Drosophila melanogaster: one gene and its partner. The gene in region 2 interacts genetically with the main gene of each other region. Each region holds a gene or a part of one and is shown on either strand. Other genes may lie near its edges.

Region 1 (3,755 bases), on a different chromosome or scaffold from region 2:
ACGATGGTCGCATCGATCGGTCCAAGCTGGGACCCTTGGTGTTTGCCGATCCCAAGCAGTTGCAAGCACTCAACGGCATTGTCTGGCCGGAACTTATTGCGGAGGTTAACAGGCGGCTGGATGCACTGCGTTCCCAGGCGGACGTGCCGCGTGTGGTGGTCCTGGAGGCAGCGGTGCTGCTGCGAGCGGGCTGGGAGACCAATTGCCATGAGGTGTGGTCCATGATTGTGCCACCGGATGAGGCTGTGCGGCGGATTATTGAGCGCAACAAGTTGAGCGAAGTGGAGGCCCAAAAGCGACTGGCCAGTCAGGTGCCCAATTCTGAGATCGTGGCCAAGTCGCATGTGATATTCAGTTCGCAATGGGATCACGAATTCACCCAGAAACAGGCGGAGCGTGCGTGGAAAATGCTTACCAAGGAACTGGACTCTTACCAGAGCAGCCTTTAACCCGATGGATATTTAGATTATCTTGTTGATCCTTATTTTGTATGATTTTTTATGCATTTGTTGTATATTGTTTAGTTGTAAGTCCAAAGTTGAAAAGAAATGCTGGGACGTCATTGGGGAAAAACGCTGAAAATTTCAATGGAACCTTAGTGGCTCTCGCCCTTCTTGCCAGCCACTCGCTTGAAGTCGTTCATCTTGGTGGTCATGATGGGGGAACCGATGAAGCCGATATAATCAATCTGCGTCACATCGCCACCTGACTGATTGTTCTTCACGAAGATTTGGATGTTTTGCACATTCTGGAACTTGACGTAGCGCAGATTCACGGGCACTCCACTCTCCAGCTCCTTCTGAGCCAGGCTGCAAAATGGATTGAACAGTGAGAAGAGCTAAGCAGCCATAGAGAAGGCAATAGCTACCTTAGATCCTGCACACTGTTCATGGACTCGGCCATGTCAAAGTCAATCGTGCGGGGCTGGTTAATGAACAGCTTCACATCCTTGGGACCCAGGTGCGAAGGTGCCTTGAACTTCAAAGAGTGGATCTTCACAGCCTGATTAAAGGTGATGGACAGGATGAGCTGCTCATCGCAATCGGACTGCAGGTAGCCACCGGCGGAGGCCAGGGCGTGCTTTAAGTTGTGGTCATCAGCTTCGTTGAGGCACTCGCACTCCTGCTTCGAAATAAATGTATTCAGTTCCATCTGTAAGAAGGATTAGGGATTATTTTTGGAACATTTCCAAATACTGCACTATATTACCAATCCCTGCCCGTAATCCTCGCCCCCCTCCTCGCCACCGGATGTACCGATGTGCTCCTGGATCTTGGCCTCGAGCCCATTGACGTCCGCACCCTGGACGCGATCGATCTTGGTCCTGTTCCTGTAGAAGATGAATGTTGGCATGGCCGAAACGCCCTGTCCAGCAGCCGTGTCCTGGCACTTGTCCACATCCACTTTCAGGAAGATGGCCTTTGGGTACTTTGTTGGAAACGTCTCGAAGATGGGCGCAATCCGCTTGCAGGGACCACACCACGAAGCTGTGAAGTCCACCACAACCAATTGAATGCCCGCTTGGGCCAACTCCGCCTGGAAGTGGGACTCGTCGTTGATCACGCGCACGGACATGGTGATAGGATTAGGTTTCTATTAATTGAGCTTTTGTTTCGGCAGCCGAATTGGATTTAAGCAAGTAAATGTTATTATTAACGTTCAATGCAAATTTTTTTTGTTAAAGATGACTTGTAATATGCATTTAGTCCAAATTCGTGCTAAGAAAAATACCGAATGCGGTATTCCACAAGCGGTCACACTGTGATGGTATCGATATTTCGAGCTCTTTGACTTCCTATTTTTAGAGGGACCATTTATGTGTAATAGAAAAAAACCGAAACTTAATATTTAAACTTTTATTGAAATATTAGTGGATTACAATATGTAAAACTATGAAATATTCTCATTTGATATAGCTCAAAGTGTTATTTAAAATTCATTCAGTGTTTACGACTAGCAATCTACGCTTTCACGCTCATCTTAAGCTTACCGCCCATTTGCCAGGGTTGTCAAGGCGAATGAGCGGTCCCACCATACACGCCACTGGAACTTTCGATACCTGCGCTGCGCCTGGCCACACGTTCATTACCTCGTGGTGTTTCAGTCGGTCGCATTTTCATTAAGTCGCCATTTTAAAATTATTAGAGTCAAGTACAATGGCAGATGTGGAAAAGGAGCCCGAGAAGACCATCGCCGAGGATTTGGTGGTGACCAAGTATAAGTTGGCCGGCGAAATCGTCAACAGTGAGTATTCCTTGGCCGGAAACAGCGAACGCTGGCCGATTCCTGGAGTCGCTGCTACGTGGCGCTTACACAATGCACCGAATGCCGCTTTCCCTTGTGCGCCACGCGTTGGTTAATCTGCCTATTTCTGGACTCTGTCTGCTCGTTTAATTTTAGAAACCCTCAAGGCGGTAATTGGACTCTGCGTGGTTGATGCCTCCGTCCGGGAGATCTGCACCCAGGGCGACAATCAGCTCACCGAGGAGACCGGCAAAGTAAGTGGTGGCCACCTGGCGGTCATTCGCGCCAATTTCATGTCCAATGATTAAGACTTACACCTTTGAGGGTTTCCCGATGGCGAGCCATGTGCTGTGCGGGCTGGGGATCACCTCGTGGTCGCCAGGCGCACGCGGGGACTCCAATGCTCCACGTGCCCGGCTTGTGTGCTCTCCAAAAGGTCCCGAGGATTTACAGATTATGAGATCTGAGGACACACCGCGCACTATCATTGATATATAGTACAACGAACAAGCAATCTAATGCTTTTATCGATCTTTCACAAACAGGTATACAAAAAGGAGAAAGACCTGAAGAAGGGCATTGCCTTTCCCACCTGTCTGTCCGTCAACAACTGTGTCTGCCACTTCTCGCCAGCCAAAAACGATGCTGACTACACGTTAAAGGCCGGTGATGTGGTCAAAATGTAAGTTGAACCTCCTATTCCACATATACCGCCACTAAATACGTAACATTTCTTTTCTACAGCGATCTGGGTGCCCACATTGATGGTTTCATTGCCGTGGCCGCTCACACAATTGTGGTAGGCGCTGCTGCGGATCAGAAGATCAGTGGTCGCCAGGCCGATGTCATCCTCGCCGCCTACTGGGCTGTCCAGGCTGCCTTACGTCTGCTCAAGTCCGGCGCCAATGTGAGTCCTCCCTTACTTCTAGGTAATCCTCCGTTAATCCCTGCAAGAAACGGATTGTCTGCCGCGATTCTCCAGCGACTGAACATCTCAACACTTGCAAAGATCAGCTGTGGCAGCTGGTAATTGCCCTGGCCTATTATTCAGGACTGGAGGCTTCTTGTCAGTTGTCCACAAGGTTATTTCTTCTGCAGGCAACGGATTGACTGCGCTCAAACTCTGACACAGATCAGCTCAACACCTGCGGATAGAAACTGTGTCAATTTCGTGAACTGAACAAGTTCATTCCATAGAAGTGTTCGGTCTTTAAATTTGTCCACATCTCCAGTTTATAGATATGTCGGAATTGTAATCTGCAGGCAACGGATTGTCTGCTGCCTTAACTCGTGGCTCAGCACAGCTCAACGTCTGCAGAGATCAACAGTGTCGATTTCGTGAACTGAACAAGTTTAGATACTTGAAATGTTCGGTCTTTAAAGTTGTCCACAATCGCAATGATAATGCCGATCAGTTATTGTTATTTTGCGTTATCTATAGTATACTATGATATTTGATTAAGATTAGTCAAAGGGAATTGGAATGTTTTCTTTATCTCTGCTTTGAACTA
Region 2 (3,947 bases):
CAAAAACTACTATGGGTTGGCCACTGTCACTGTTCGGATCCTGTCTTATACTCATTCCAAACATGATGTCATTGAAGCCGTACCGACGCAGTCGAGCCAGTGCCTCCATCCACTGAAACTTCTCCTTGGGCCACTTGCCTCCTCGGGGCGTCAGAAAGGGCCAGTTGAGATCTTCTCCCGGCTTCACCAGCTCAAAATACCTCAGAAGACTGGGTCTCTCCATGGTCGAACAGATTTTGTATAGACGCTGCAACTTTTCCTCGAAGCTGTGCTTCTCGAACACCTCGTTCTCAATTCCGTCGAAGAGGAGTTGGAACTGATCGCTCACCGTCGCAAATGCATGCCACTTGAGATTCTTTTGGGAGGAGTTGTAGAAATTGTGACATGGTTCGACTTTTTCATCCATGTCGTCTAGCATTCGCTTCATGATCTCGAGATTGGGATTTGCAGAACATACTGTACTGCACAGAAGAAGAAGCAGCCAGCTTAGGCTGAGGTACGATCTGGATTCCATCATCTTAACTCATCAACTGATGCGGCATTTGGAAGTAATCAGCAATGACTTCTAAGAAACCTGATGAAATTATACGAAATTTTAAATCTGTTGTTTTGGCGAATTGCGGTGTGACCCTAAATCGTTTTGTACCATATGCTTAATTATGCTTTTTCGTGTCACGACGCACTTTTTTTTTTCCAAACTCACCAATCATTTTATACTTGAATTATGAAAACTATAAACAAAACTCCCAGTTGTTGTAACGAAATAAAAAACGAAATTCACTTTGTGTAAAACTCTGCTCTGAACAAAAGCCTTTTTTTTTATCAGTTAATACGTTTAGCTTAGCGATTTGTGGGTATGAAGGGAAATTGGTTTGAGGAGAGCAAATGCATAAATTCACTTAAAGACTATGGTGTCCAGCATGGCGCCCAGGCACTGCACAATATTGTTCTGCATAACCTTGTCCACCTTCTCCTCCAAATGCCGCTTGGGGTCCTGCTTGCCCACGTTCTTGATCGCCAGCTGCTCGGGCGTCATTTTCTCCTCGTCCTCCAGTGACTGCAAGAAAATGAGGGAAATCAATGAAAATCCAAAAAAATTCTAGTTTTTCATTAAATTGGCTAACCAACCAATAAATTAATATCTAATGAGATGATGAATCACCCACCTTGTTGTAGTTCTTGGCGAGATCCAGCATCTCGGCCACGGTGTCCTCGTTGATGGAACAGTGCTCATTGTAGTCGGACAACGTGAGGCCGTCCTTCCACGACTTTTTGTGCAGATTGAGAAGCATCTTCTGCTCCAGTTCGTTCTTGCGGTAGTTTATGCTAATCGAGTAGTAGTGGCGATTGAGCCCGTGGATCAGGGCCTGTACGGAGGGCTTTTGCAGATGACCCAAATTGGAGGTTGTCTGCCGGGGCTCCTGTCCCAGCACAAGCATGTTGGGATTGATCAGGCGGAAGGCATCGATGACCACTTTGCCCTTGACAGACTGAATGGGATCGACGACGACGGCTACGGCTCGCTCCGACAGCGCCTCGAAGGATTGCTGCGTATTGATGTCCACGCCGGACAGCCAGCAGCCGAAACCGGGATGCGAGTGATACCAGCCGACGACCATTTCGGGTCGACCCGTCTGCTTCAGCATGTCCAACATCTTCGCCTGAAAGACGGGATCCACGGCCTCTACGGATACTCCAGTACCCGTTTGCGGCATGGCGAACACATCGATGACCTGCACCGTGTAGTCGTCCACGAATTCGCCCAACATCAGACCCATCACCTCCATGGGCACGCCGGCCCGTCCGTGCTTAAGCATCTTGAGCAGGGCCAAGGACGAGATGTACACCTGCTCGGCGGTGTCTACGACGGGCGCATCTGTGGGCGGGGCGGCCTGTGGCATAGCACCTCCAAGACGTAGCAGACGATCCATTTTATGCGGCTACCCGGGCACAAGGATACGAATCGGGGTTAGAAACAATCGAAAAGCGCTGACTAAGCCAAGTGCTCACCTCTGGGATTTGTAGACACTCTGTGATCGGGGGCAAGTATCAACTATTTCCTACTGTTTTACGTGTAATTTACGTTCCTCGTCGAAAGCAGCAACAAAAAACACAAAGCCGTCTCGTTTGATTTTGCAGAATTGCAAGTAATACTCGCAACAGGGTTGTATCGCTCATCGCCTATCGAAAAGCTATCGGCGGGAGGAGATGACGATTTGCCTAAATTTTAGCTTGATTATAGCAAAGCTATAAAAATATTTCAATTACGTTCAATGTGTAATCAAAGCTAAGCTTTAGTTGTTGTTATGTAAATAATATGAGAATACGTAACTATAGTAGGGAATAATGAAATTAACTAGTTGTTGTCAAGGATGTATTGGAAAGGCTACTTCTACCAAAGTTATTTCATATAAAAATAAAATTAACCTAATTATAAAGAGTCCGCTGTAATATTTTATTCTATATTCTTCAGATTATTTGTAGTAGTCAATTTGTTTGTGGAATATTTTAGCATATATTTAAGTCTGCTATTTGCCAGCACTGATCAACACTGTCTTTATATCGATACATAAAACTATCGATAATGGGAATTGGCGCCAAGCTCGAAATTTTTAAGCGGATAAAACTTAAAAAGCAAACTCAAAGGACTTGAAAGTACTGGAAAGAGTGTATTCCGATGTTATATTTGGTACAACAATAGAATGAGTGTGTAGTGTGGTCGAAAGTGAAGTGAGCTGAGGAAAACTAAGACTTTCCGCAAGACCGAACACCACAAAATTTATAATGCACCATCCATCCGCCCGTCAAATGCCATGGGAAATGAGGTCTTCGCCGGCAAAACCGAAACAATTTGAGCAAGTACAATGCAGAGCCGCCTTTTGTTTTTATTGTGCCAATTAATTGCACCAAAAACCTTTTGCCTTTTGGATGCGGCGCCTTCTTTATGCCTTTCACCTCGCTCTTGGCGATGGGGATTCCGATTAAGAGATTCCCAGACCGCCAGACGCTCGAAAATTCGCTTAAAATGCCATCAAAAGGTGGGACGACGCCACACACCGGCTACAAAATCCAAAGCCCAAAATCCATCCGATTGCAACACACGGACTACTCCATTTTCCGTCTCGCTTTGGTAATTGAACAATAGGTTTTCCATCTGCCAGCAGACTTTTCCATTCGCCGCTCGGCTTTTCAGCTTCAGTTGCATTTTGTCGCTCGCCTCCAGCACGCGCACTCCACACAATTGTTGTTAAAGTTTAATAGTTTTATACTTTTCGCTTGGTTAAACGTTGTGCTCAAGATATTTGCAATTATTCGCATACAAATTGCGAGCAAATAGTGCACTCATTTGCCGCAAGCGTAGCCAAACTCAGGTAATTAAATACAAATTGTGAATACTTCTAGCTGAAAGGTGGCGAATTTCAGCTGAGACCGACATATTTGTGTCGATTTTGTATTTCGCTGTTGACTTGCCCTCTTATCACCCAACGAAACACAGCCACAAAATTGTTATTGTTGATAAGTGAGAGACTCGAACTTAGAGAGCTTTTTTTTTACAGGGGGTGTGTGTGTTCTATTAGTACACAAAAAATAAAATTCGGTAATAATGTGTGTGCTTAAATCGAGTAAATCAAACGAGTAGTAATTCCAAATGATTACTTTAAACTAATGTATCTTTGAGTTCTTACTCTCACATATAAAGTAAGTATTATTATTCTAGTGGCTAGTGAACTCAGCAAATTTTTCGCTCTGTGTACTTTTAATTACTTAAACAGCTGCTTGGTATTTGCTTAGGCCGAAAACAAAAGAAACGTGCTCCATTTCGCCATTGATTAAATAGTTTCACATCTGACTTGGGCATCTTAAACGCTATCCATTGACCTTGTCAACGCTTAAATCAATCCCGTTCGAAGAAATGACGTGAATGCACTCAATCTGGTTACAAAAAC

The links.
Region 1: of Rpn11 (region 2) and Txl, changing one suppresses a phenotype caused by changing the other (phenotypic suppression), as found in Drosophila melanogaster (one study listed by BioGRID).

Annotation. Positions count from the first base shown.
Region 1 is NT_037436.4:5,763,830-5,767,584, reverse strand, and holds Txl (Thioredoxin-like), read right to left. Parts: upstream 1,740-3,755; 5' UTR 1,576-1,739; coding exon 1,210-1,575; intron 1,153-1,209; coding exon 869-1,152; intron 810-868; coding exon 596-809; 3' UTR 501-595; downstream 1-500. Other genes in the region: Ppat-Dpck (bifunctional phosphopantetheine adenylyltransferase - Dephospho-CoA kinase), read left to right, coding at 1-449; CG10576 (uncharacterized protein), read left to right, coding at 2,157-2,244, 2,401-2,498, 2,790-2,926, 2,989-3,151.
Region 2 is NT_033779.5:5,057,620-5,061,566, forward strand, and holds Rpn11 (regulatory particle non-ATPase 11), read right to left. Parts: upstream 2,172-3,947; 5' UTR 2,011-2,171; intron 1,941-2,010; 5' UTR 1,932-1,940; coding exon 1,167-1,931; intron 1,058-1,166; coding exon 896-1,057; 3' UTR 785-895; downstream 1-784. Other genes in the region: Nepl3 (Neprilysin-like 3), read right to left, coding at 1-517. UniProt on the Drosophila melanogaster protein: Metalloprotease component of the 26S proteasome that specifically cleaves 'Lys-63'-linked polyubiquitin chains. The 26S proteasome is involved in the ATP-dependent degradation of ubiquitinated proteins.